Linked DNA regions of Ovis aries. The protein of the gene in region 1 purifies or fractionates together with the protein of each later gene. This does not show direct contact. Links are inferred from orthologs where the notes say so. Each region holds a gene or a part of one and is shown in the gene's direction. Other genes may lie near its edges.

Region 1 (5,980 bases):
CAGACAAGACCTGCGAATTGAATCCAGGTCTCTGGCATTGCAGGCAGATTCTTTACCATCTGTGCCACCAGGAAAGCCCATATGTGTGTGTATGTGTACAGACACCACATCTTTGTCCATTCATCTGCTGATGGACATTTAGATTACTTCAAAGAGATTCCCTTTTAAAATGGCTGCTATAAAAGACCCAAATTAGTATCTCATTGGCCTGACTTGGGTCACATGCTCTTCCCAGAACCAATGAATGGGGCAAAAGTGTTGGAATATACTGACTGACCAGGTCTAGTCATGTGTCCAATCTCAGAGCCAGGAGAGTGGAGAGGGCTGTTCTCATGAATCGAGAATAGGGTGTACTGGTTCCTTAAAAACAAAAGATGCTCATACACCATAGAGAGGAAAAAAGAAGCCAAAAAACTTGTCTAGAGCCACAGAGCTATAAGTAGAGCAGTCTCTTTTTTTTTTTTTGGCCTTTCTTTGGGCTTGAACAGATTAGCTCAGACTCTGTTCTTGTCCAGCTTTCCCGTAGTTAAAATTTCCAGGTATAATTTTGTTTTATGCTGAAAGCCAAAGTTTTTTGAAGGTGACTAATGGAACCAATATTTTAAACAAAAATGATATGTATCTTCTAGATCTTGCATTTTCTGAAACTTGTAGTATTTAGGCCAAAGGGTAAAACACTCAAAGACCAATGGTTTCAGGACCATTTCTTTTTTTTTCATTCCCTTCACCACCTTATGAGGTGCTGCCTGAATGTCACCCTCTCCCCAAGCCTCATAAACTTGTACCTACTCCCTAGAGACCACTGCAGCTGGTAAGCTGAAGGACTTCACTCTCCCAACAGAATCTGAATTTTCAGGGGCCACAAAAACTGAAGTGGCCCTCCCAGGTGGTGCAATGATAACGAATCCTCATGTCAGTGCAGGAGACCCAGGAGACAGGGCTTTGATCCCTGGGTTGGGAAGATGCCCTAAATTAGGAAATGGCAACCCACTCCAGTATTCTTGCCTGGGAAATCCCATGGAAGGAGGAGCCTGGCGGGCTACAGTCCATAGGGTTGCAAAGAGTTGGACATCTCAAGCAACTGAGCACACACACACAAAACTGAAGAGTCAAGACTAATGGACAGGACATTCTAGGGAGTGGTCAATATATACTGAGACCTAGGTCAAAATCTGCGACTTCCTATGTAAACTTGGGAGAGTCACTTCACCTGCCTTAGTCTCCCTGTTTATGAAGTGGGGAAAATAAGAGGATTATGACCAGAATTTAAAAAGATAATGTCTATAAAGCAGTTACCAAAGTGCCTGATACAAAGTGAATGTCCTGTAAATATCAGTTCTTATCACAACTCCAAAAAGGCTCATCGAAGAAGGCATTGCAAATGACAGGTAGCCCTTGACCACAGAAACATGTTTACAATCCAGTGTTGAGTGGATAGGAGAAATAGGTAAGAGTCCACTCTTGTTAGGAAAAATGTAAACACTCCCACAATCATACTTAGGTAACCCTGTCTCTCTGTTTCTGGCCTGCCTGCGTGCACTTGTTTCTCTGCGTTTGCCTGGGGCCCCTACCTTGGAAATCTTCTGGGCAACTGTATCTCTATAAGCCTCAGTTTTATGATCTGTACAATACAGCTACAAAGGTTGACATGAAGATAGTATGAGAAAAAACGCTTGATACATATCAGTTATTTCTTTTTTTTCTGTGCCCCGTGCAGTGGAAGCCCAGAGTCTGAACCACTGGACAACCAGCGAAGTCTTATTTCTAAATTTAACAGTTATGAAATTCTAAAATTTCGCTAGGAAAATAGGAAGATATAATATGAACTTGTTCACAGTGGTTATCATTAGTTTTATTTCCTTTTCTTCGTTATACTTTACCGTATTTATTTGTTCATTTCCCAGGTATTTATTAAGCACTTGCTAGGTACCAGGCCGGGAAGGATCCCCTGGTGGAGGGCATGACAACCCACTCCTGTATTCTTGCCTGGAGAATCCCATGGACAGAGGAGCATGGCGGGCTACAGTCCATAGGGTCACACAGAGTCACAGACACAACTGAAGCAACTTAGCACGCACGCCGATGCCAAGCCGTGCGCTAAGAGGACTACAGCAACGTACTATACAAATAATTACACAAATAATTGCCATAAGTTTTTGCAAAGCAGAGATCAGAAAAAAAGCGATTTGAGACGTACAATGAGACCGGATCATTACTGATTTTGGAAAGGATTCGAATACAGGAACTAGACAGGCAGCGGATGGAGAATGGGAGGGTGCGGTACGAGAGCAAGGGGTTAGCTGTCCCCTCTGAAATTACCCGCTGGGCGGGCGCCCCCTTTGCCAGTAGGTGGCCAGGCCTGCCGCAGGCGTTAGATCCGGAAGCTCTGTATTCAGCTGGCTAGTCAGCCGCAGACGCAGCGCCGGGAGGTCCACGCGGCGGCAGAAGGAGCCCGGGCGGCCACTGGGGGCGGCCACGTGAGCGCCGCGGCCCCGCCCCGGCGCGCCGCCTCCGGCCCCAGCCCCAGCTCTGCCAGTGTGGGGATCCGCCTCCCGCAAGTCGCGCTGCCGCTGCAGCTGCCCCAGCCCCGCTGACGGTGGCCCTCGGAACGCTCCCCTAGCGCCCCGGGATCATTCCAGCGGCTCCGCGCACCCCTCGCGCCCCGGGACCGTTCCTGCGGCCGCCGCCGCCTCCCCCGAGCGCCGGCCCGCGCGCCCGGCTCGCCGCTCCCCGGCATTTTCGGGGGGCCCGCCCGCCCTGCACCCTGGAGCACCGGGCCACGAGCCTCTGCCAGTTCCTCTGGATCCTCGCGGCCGTGAGCAGCGGCTGCCGCGCCGGGCCGCCCGAGGCAGGTAAGTGGGGCCGCGGTTGGCCAAGGGGGCCGGGATCCGGCGCTGCAGGCCGGCGCGCCCCGGTGCTGCCGGCGTCCGGAGCGCTCAGGGTCCGGTGCTTAAAGCGGGGCTCGAGGCGGAAGGAGAATGTGAGGGTTCAGCTCTTCGGCTTTCACTGCTTGCTTCTGTAAAATGGGAGCGTCGTGCCGATTAACGGCAGAGCCTATTAGGAAAATACTTGGCACTCCTTGGTGTGGGAGAGGCAGCTTGGGGGCCTCCGCCTGGGGCGCCTCGGGGCCCGCAGAGGTGGGGGAGGGATGCCGAAGCCGCATCCCCCACCTGGGCCCCCGAACAAGAGGCCCCAGTTCCAGGAACCTCAAGGACAGTGTCGACGCACCCTTGCTGCACTGTTGACTGCGGGAGTTTCGGGTGTTGGCAGGCCCCGTGGGCAAGTGCGCCAAGGGGCCGGGCATCAGTATGCGGAGTGGCGGGGCGGGGGCCTCCCCGGGTGAGTCCCGGCCTAGATCCGCTGCGCGGGCCTCGGGGGTTGCGGGGAACCCGCCCAGCTGCGCCCCGGTGAGACACATGGGCTGCTGGGAGGAGGGTGGCTAGTCTGCAGGAGGGAAGTTCTGTGGGAGCCTGACTTCTGGGTGCTCGGCCCTGGAAGCTGCTGCCTGGGGGCCGCTCAGACAGGAAATTGTCTACCCCTCTGATTTTACAGAGAAGGAAACTGAGGCCCAGAGTAATCTAACAGCAGGTACTAATGAGCAAGGTGGGCTAAGTGAAGGAATAGAGAGCAAGCAGGTGGGAGCTGATAATGCCGTGTGTGTGGCGTGGGCGGGGGGGAGGTCTTGTGGGGGGTCATTGGGGAAGGCTTCCTGGAGGTGGTGATGGAAAGGATGCCTGTGGGAGGAAGTGGGATTTAGAGTTTCCTAGGTGTCCTTCTCCCTGGCCTCCACAGCACCTTTCATTTTTTACTCCAGGCATTTATTCAACAAATACAATAAAGCTGCTGGGATTTCAGGTGTAACAGGATGGTTGGGATTGCCATCCCCCCTCCTCTCCTATTCTTCAAGAAGGGATGTGGGCTGCTGTCCCAAATTATCTTTTGTAGGGGGTGGGGAGAGAGGAAGTCAGGGTCTGAGGATCCCTTGAAATGATCTGTTTACATATGGTCACTTGTGTACATTCTGTGATTTGCAGCAGGGTGTGTGTGTGTGTGTGCTTTGGGTGACAGGACAGTACTTTCTGGCTGATTAAGGATGTATCACTGATACGATCTTTAAACATTTTTAATGTATTATGTGGCAGAGATGGCTGTTGGTCACCATGTCCTCCTCTTCCTGGGATATCATCCTGGTTGCGTTTTGTGGGCTCCCTTATAATTTGTTGGGCCACATGACTAAGTTTTGGCTTGTTGGAATATGAGCAGAAATAGTGTGTGTCTCCCCCAAGGCTGGACCCTGAAAACCTCCCCCATTCTCCTATTTACCAGCAGAGTTGAGAGGACTGTGAGGGCCTGGCAGAGGGCAGAGCCACAGCCTGGAAGGTGGCTGGGTCCCTGATTGACGGGAGCTCTCCTTTCCACCTCTCTGGTGGTCTGTGACTATCTGCTGAAGAAACTGGGGCTCCAGGAAGCCCTATGAAACATCTGTGGGTATGAGAGGGGCTTCTTGGTTGTGGCTTTCCCCTCGGGGTGATCTGGTGTTCTGCAGGGGAGGGTGTCTTTAGGCCCTTTTTCTCACACTGATCAGATTCCCCAAAGAAGTCTGGTCCAGTCTTTGGCAGGGTTGACATCCAGGTGCCAGGACACAGAGAGCAGTGTGGAAGAAAGCTGAGGGTCACCAGCAGAAACTTGGATTTGTTCAGGCTCATTCTCTTAAGATTTACTCTTTCTGGTTTGATTCTTAAAGTTGATACAGGAAGTGTTGATGACCAGGACCTCATTCAATGTAATAGTGGCTTGCTGGACTGACTTAAAAATAAACATTTTTGTGCTGGGGAGATCAGTTCTGCTGATCAAGAAGCTGCAGATGTAACCCCAGCGAACTGAGAATGTTCTAGAAGAAAGTGACTATAGTGCTCACCACAGTATAAAAGTGGCTTGGCCCTTCAAGTGTTGCTGAATTATACTCCTGCCACCAAGGCTGATGGGCACAAGAAGCAGGCTTCCAACAAAGGAAGAAGTGAGTCACTAACAGGCTTGATAATAAAGTAGAAGACAGTAACTTGTCCAAAGACCCAGGGCCGTGGAACACCCAGAGAAGCATTTCAGATGGCTAGAAAATCAGAGGGCAGACAGTGTTTAGTTCTCCAGCTGGGACACTTTCTAGACCTCGCAAGGATTCCACAGGGAGTGGCCAAAAGGCAGGAGGCTCAACTGAGAACATGTCTCTGGGCCAGTGGTTCTTTTTTTTTTTTTTTTAAGTTTTTATTTTTTAAATTTTAACGGGCCAGTGGTTCTTGAATTTCGGTGCATATCTACACCACCTGGAGGAATTGTTTAAACACGGCTTGCCGGGCCCATCCCCAGAGTTTACTTGAGCAGGACTGGCACGGGGCCCCCAGAATTTGCACATGTGACGAGTAGAAGTGGGACCTGCTAGTGGTCCCAGGAATCACAGTTTGAAAGTGGTTTAGGAAGTCAGGGCTGAGCGAACCCTGGATGGATCTGCACTGGCTGCAAACCCACCTCCCCTGCCTTCTGGCCGCGTGATTAGGGGCAAGTCGCTTCACCTCTCTGTTCCTCAGTTTCTTCATCTGTAGGATGAGGCTAATGGTGCCAAACTCCTGGGGCTCCAGCGATGCTTCCTGGAGGAGGTGACATCTATCTAACCTGAGACCTGAGGGATGAGCAGAACTGGCTAGGGGATGGGTAGGGAGAGCAGGTTAGGGCGTGTGCCAAACAGATGGCACCATGTGGGTGAGCCCAGGGAGCAGGGAACCCTTGTTCTCCAGGGGGCTGAGCAGGAGCTTTGTGAGTGGTGCTGGAAAGCTGTGACTCTGTTCTGGGCTACGTGTCTCAGGACAGCATTGCAGTGCAGGGGAGGCTGACCAGGGTGCCGAAAACGGGCCTCAGGGATGGGATGGGCCTGATAGCAGCGCCAGTTACTTCTGTCCGCGCTCCACCACCTCACATGTAGCCCCCT
Region 2 (6,155 bases), on another chromosome or scaffold:
CTGCCTGCAATGCAGAAGACCTGGAGTTCAATCTCTAGCTTGGGAAGGTCACCTGAAGAAGAGAATGGCTGCCCACTCCAGTATTCTTGCTGGAGAATTCCACGAACAGTGGAGCCTGGCAGGCTACAGTCCATGGGGTCATAAAAGAGTCAGACACAACTGAGTAACTAACACCTAAAGTAAAATAAAACAAATGACTTATCAACAGAATTTTACAGTAAAGGATGTTAACCTCCCACCCAAACTGAACTCTCCTAGACAATCCTGCCTCTATATTTTCAGACAACATGGTCACCCTGCCTCTATGTTTCCTTTGTCAAGACAGCTCTGGTTACTAGAAAGCGTGAATCTGAATCTTGTGTCATTACAGTGTAGTTCAGTGAAAATAGCACAGGCCTTGCAGTCAAGCAGATGGGGTTAGAATCCTGATGATGTAATTTGCTGGGTGACTTGATCAAGTTACTTATCTCCTCAATCTCACTTACTTCATCTGTAAATTAGGGATAATAATACCTGCTTTACAAAGTTACTCTATATTATAAATTATGAATATGAGATACCTAGTCACAAAGAGCTAATAAAGTGACAGCTGTTATCATCATCACCACCATCACTATTATTATCCTATCCAGTGGTCCTACTTTACCCTATAGAGCTATATACATATGCCTTTCAGTATTTTAAAATACTTAAATTTATTTGCCATGTTATTCTTAAGTGCTCTTTCTTCAGAGTAGTCATTTATCAATATTTTCTCTTTCGGTTATCTTGTCCTTGGCTGTGCTCCTGCATAAGATGTTTACAGAACATGGTGCCCATAACTGAACAAAGTGCTCCAGGTGTGGTCTTAGTGATTCAAAACAGAGTAAAACCATAAAACTGTATTCCCGAGACACTACTCTCTTCAAGCTGCCTAACTTTTAAACTTTAGCTTTTTTGGCAACCATATCACATACTGCCTATGAAAAGTTGCAGGTAGTTTTCATATGAATGAATTTTGAGTCTTCATTTTGCAATAGTAGTAGTAGCAGAACTTAAATTTTTTTAAAAAAATTTATTCATTTATTTGCCTGCACTGGGTCTTAGTTGTGGCACCTGGAATCTTTGATTTTGGTTACAGCATGTGAACTCTCAGTTGGGGCATTTAGGATCTAGTTCCCTGACCAGGGATGGAAACTGGGCTCAGTGCACTGGGAGTAGGGAGTCTTAGCCACTGGACCACCAGGGAAGTCCCTTAAAAAAAAAAATTCAAGAGTATAACTTTTAATTAACTTTATTATATATAGGTAATGTGCTGAGTTCTGAGAACATAGAGATGAGTAGGACAAAGTATCGATATACTAGAAATGTAAGTTCCATGAGAGCAGGACTATTGTGTTCACTATTGAATCCCCATCTCTTGGGCACAATTATCCGCACATGGTTATATGTGCTGTTTGTTGAATGAACAAATGAATAAAATATACAGTGGAAGATTTCCCTATAAACGAAAAGCTATTTCCCTATTTTATAAACTCAGGTATTTTGTACAAGCCTGTCACTTTTAGCACAACCCTAGTGTTTTCGCATTTTATGGTAAGCTGATTTCCAAAATAAATTCGTACAGTCCCCTTTAAGGCCAAACTAAATACTACATGCTTTATTTGCTCGATGGCCATTATATCCCACCATTAAAGACCTTTTGGAAGTACCCATTTAACCCTGAATGCAGGGCTTACATCTCAGGGTTAGCAGTAGCCGGCCATGGTTTCTGAGTGCTAAACACCCGAGAATATTCTGAGTCGAGTTCTATTAGACCCTGACTTATAGTGGGTTAGAATAAGGTGGAAGTATGGCGCGATGACTTAGAAAGACCTTGAAACTCTGCATTTCAGCATGAAGCTACTGCTAGGTGCCCATAGGCCAGGCGTCCCAGTCAAAATCCGTCCTTCAGACGCCAGACATAGGAATTTGGGGGGCGTCAGTTCTCTATAACAACAGTTAGGGAGGCCCTAGCGTCTCTGTCCTCTCAGAGCTTTTTCTAGTATTTGGGCTACAGGTGAGGCGCCGGTCGCCATCTTGATATCAATTGCCAGGCAAGTCGCCACTGGCGTCGCTCGGTAACCACGGAGACACCGATGCCCCTCCCGTTTCTCAGCTCTAGAGGCCGCAAACTACGATTCCCATACGCTGATCTTCTCTACTTGACGGTCAGTTGTCTAGATTTGGCGTGGGAGACACCGCGACCCTACCGCAGTGAACCGCGGGAGTTGCAGTTCGTAGTGTGGCGTCACTTTTTTGCTTCAGGAACCTCCAGAACCACAAATCCCGTGAGCCAGCGGGCAACACGCATGCGCAAAGGACACCTTGTCCTCCCTGGCCCCCCTGCCAGTGCCTGAGAGGTAAGAGGGCGGAGGAAAGGAAGAGGAGGCGGGATCCGGGCGCTGCGTTGGCTGCGGCCTGGCATCAAGGGGGCGGCCCCGGCGGAGTGCAGACCCAGTGGCCCCTGGCGATTATGGACCCGGCCGAGGCGGTGCTGCAGGAAAAAGCGCTCAAGTTTATGGTGAGGAGAAGGTGCAGGCCGGGGAACTGTGCAGGCGGTGCGTTGGCGGCGTCTCTGAGGCTCGGGCCTGGGCTGCCTGCCCGTTGGAGGAGGGCACAGCGAGACCCTGGGCCGAGGCCGGCGGCGGGGGCGGCTGGAGGGACGGGACGGGAGCTTCTGGGAGGTAGGAGGGGTTGCGGAGAGGACCCGGGGGTGGGGGCAGCAGCTCCGCCATCTTGTGGATGAGAGGCCAAGTGACAGCGAGAGCTTAATCGGGGAGGGGTCTCTGGGGCGCGCGGGGCCCTGGAGAGTAAGGGGCTTAGGGACAGTTACTGAAGAGCTGAGGAGGCCAGGAGGAGAGACGCCGTGAGGCCGCTGGCAGGGCCTTGCCGGTGTGAGGGTTACGGGTGAGGCCCTGGAGAAGAGGTGCATTCAGTAGTAGGGAAGGGGAACGCTGGACAGTGGGAGGAAAGATACTGGGAGTGGGAGGAGGGTGGGAAAAACGGGCAAGGCTGGATGTGGATGGATCTAAGGTAGAGCAGAAAGAGGACTGCTGGGAGACTTACAGTCTTGTAGAGTGAGGTGGGAGAGATAGCCTTCAGGGTACAATCCCAGCTTGGGCAAACAAACTAATGTTGGCAAACTCTGGAAAGAACTAGGCCTTACTTAGGAAGGTAAGGACTGGGGACGGGGACCTCGCACTGTGATGACAGTCTTTGGGAAAGGGAAGAGGTTGAATAGATGCCAGAGTTACAGGTATCAGGAAAAGGGTATACATTCTCTAGTTTGAAAGAAGACAGAAGAGGTTCACTGGTTAGGGAAACCTAGGTACAGGAGATTAGGGGCAAAATTAATATCTAATAGTGTAAAACAAAACTTGATGCGATATCGTAGAGACAGTAAAATGTGGAGATCAGGTGCAGTATCACTTTCTGGGAATGGAAAGGCTATGCAGATTAGCATCCAAAGACCCATAAGAAGTAATAAGATCACTGGAGAAATTCAGGAGATAAAAGGGGGAATGCAGATGGTGGAGAATAATAGGAAATGTCAGGGTTAGTAGTTACTTAGGACTTTTAGGTTGAAGCACAGTATGAACTTGAATTTTGTGGGTGTGTTTCAATCCTTTGGAGTCTAATTCTTTAACTTTGTATCATGCTTTTCTTTTTTTGATATGTGTATGTTTAGCAAATGTGTATAGCTATTTGATGCATTTAATCTGATGCTTCATTTGTATATCCCAGATGTAAAACCAGACTTGGTGGTTACAGCTAAAGAATGATGGGATGCATAGACTTCTTTCTGTCTTAACTGGTGTCCATAGGGACCATTGATATTATTTTACAGTCTGTTTGCTTTTTCAGAAGTAATTGTAACCTGTCACTCCAAATCTTTATTTCTTTTGTTAGATAGTTGTTGTTTTGTCTTCTTGGCCTTAGATACCAAAACAAATCTAAACAAACCATGGACACTAACCTAATTGAATTTAGGCTTTAAACTGCTGCATTTACAAGAATATAATTTAAGAGTCTGGTCATATTTACTGTAACTTTATTTATTTTGTATTAGTGCTTTCTAAAATGCCTAACTAAAGTTCAAGTGTATCTTTAACAAAATACTATTAGACCTGAAGAAAGTTCTTGAGTTTCTGCCCACTGTTGAAATTCTAAAATATTAAGAGGCTTCAGAATTGTTTCGGACTTCAGAAGTGAGACGAAGTTGCTTTGTGTGTACAGCCAGCTTCTAGATTTAAGTAAGAAAAGTGACAGCTGCTTATTTTTGTTTTGTCCTAATCTTGACACGTGTCAGATTTATGGAATAATGTGGTTTTAACAGATCATAAAGGGACCTTATGAGATCATCTTCTTTAGTCCCTGATAGACCTCAGCCTAGGAACATTTTCAACCAATTGATCTCTGCTTTGTACCAGTGAGTTGTTTTGATAATGGTCTCCTGATTGAGTTAAAGTTGGAGCTAGAGATGGCCATGAGTAGTTTGAAGCTTTTGGGACACCACACATTATTAAATGTTGAGTCAGTTTCCATAAGGAGAAACCAATTTTTCTTCAATTTTAGTTACTTTCATTTTTGACCTTGCCTGCTGTTATGGCTGCTGTTTGCGAGAAGGCCAGCTGGAAAAGGGTCACCAAGAATGACACCTTAATAACTGCAACAGAATGGAGAGTTAAAGATTTGGCATTCTTTTTCAGCTCAGTGCTGTGCTTAGTTGCTCAGTTGTATCTGATTCTTTGAGACCCCTTGGATTATAGCCCGCCAGGCTCCTCTGTCCATGGGGATTCTCCAGGCAAGAATTCTGAAGTGGGTTGCCATTTCCTTCTCCAGGGGATCTTCTCAACCCAGGGATTGAACCCAGGTCTCCCGCATTGCAGGTGGATCCTTTACCGTCTGAGCCACCAGGGAAGCCCTTTTCACCTCAGTAACAGTCTTATTATGAATTTAAGTCACAACCTGCCTTTGGTCCCATTTACTCTGTTATGTTTGTTTACTTAGTCATTTGAGATAGGAAGATACTTTATTTGTGCTTGCACCTGGTAATTAATGCACAGTACACATGGAAAAGACTATCCTTTTAATCAAATTGAAATTTTTATATAGTATTTGGCTTTATTTTGTCCTTATCCTTTCCCTCAATTCTGAGGTGTGAATGACAATTTTTGTATAGGATGCCCTGATTTCTACAGTTTAAGAAAATATAAAATTTTGTTTAAAATAGCATGAAATGGATATTCTCTTTTATGAATTTTGCTCATTACTGTATTGATGTAGTAATTTGATTAATTTTTATAATAAAACCTTATCAGTGAGACCGATTCAGATTTGACCATAATTCATACATGGTCTATACTTAAACTTCATCTTTGAATATCTGTACTATATCTATATCTGTCTCTCCTTCTGTATTTTATCTATTTATATGACAAGTTGAGGGATGGATTTGAAATTTATTTTTAAATGGACAGGATAAACTGGTCTCGGGATCTTAGAACTAGGAAAATTTGACACATGGATGAAATAATTTCAAGATGTATAAAATAGTTTTTTTATTGATAGATAAGTGAAACAGTGTAAAGGTTAACTTGCTGTGTAACAAACATAAATCTTTTGTTGATTGGTGCATTTTCTGTTTTGCCTAGTGTTGGCTGGAATGTTCAAAATGGCCACAATCTCTCATGGCTGGCCCAAAATGGCCAGTTTCTCACGGCCAGCCACTGTCTGTGAGTTCAGCTAGCAATAAGGCCTTCTTGTCCTCCTTTCTCCATATGGCCTTCTTTTGGATTTCCTTAAAGCATGGTGTCTGGGTTCTAAGAAGGGGAGCATTCCAGGAGATAAGAAAGAAGCCAGCCAATTTTCTTAAGTCCTAGGTTTGGAAGTTGAGAATGTTGCTATTGGTCAGAGACAGTAAAGGCCGGCCCAGAGTCAGAGGGAGGGAAAATAATCTCTCCCTGTAGACAAAAAGAGTAGCATGCATGAACAGAGAGAGGGAAATTTCTGGGGGCCAGGACCTTTTGAGACTGGCTACCATAGATGCTGTTCTAGTTGGATGCTCAGGCAGAAAATACAGATGGGATCAGCCACATTTGTGGCTATTAACACTTGGAATGCTTTGGAGACCT

The links.
Region 2: the proteins of EEF2K (region 1) and BTRC purify together in Homo sapiens (affinity purification with western blotting; 4 studies listed by BioGRID and IntAct, with this or other methods). This does not show direct contact. The link is inferred for Ovis aries from reciprocal best matches to the Homo sapiens genes EEF2K and BTRC.

Annotation. Positions count from the first base shown.
Region 1 is NC_056077.1:20,435,799-20,441,778, forward strand, and holds the start of EEF2K (eukaryotic elongation factor 2 kinase), read left to right. Parts: upstream 1-2,534; 5' UTR 2,535-2,852; intron 2,853-3,341; exon of another isoform or gene 3,342-3,407; intron 3,408-5,980. UniProt on the Homo sapiens protein: Threonine kinase that regulates protein synthesis by controlling the rate of peptide chain elongation.
Region 2 is NC_056075.1:21,897,657-21,903,811, forward strand, and holds the start of BTRC (F-box/WD repeat-containing protein 1A), read left to right. Parts: upstream 1-2,425; 5' UTR 2,426-2,494; coding exon 2,495-2,542; exon of another isoform or gene 2,543-2,579; intron 2,580-6,155. UniProt on the Homo sapiens protein: Substrate recognition component of a SCF (SKP1-CUL1-F-box protein) E3 ubiquitin-protein ligase complex which mediates the ubiquitination and subsequent proteasomal degradation of target proteins. Recognizes and binds to phosphorylated target proteins.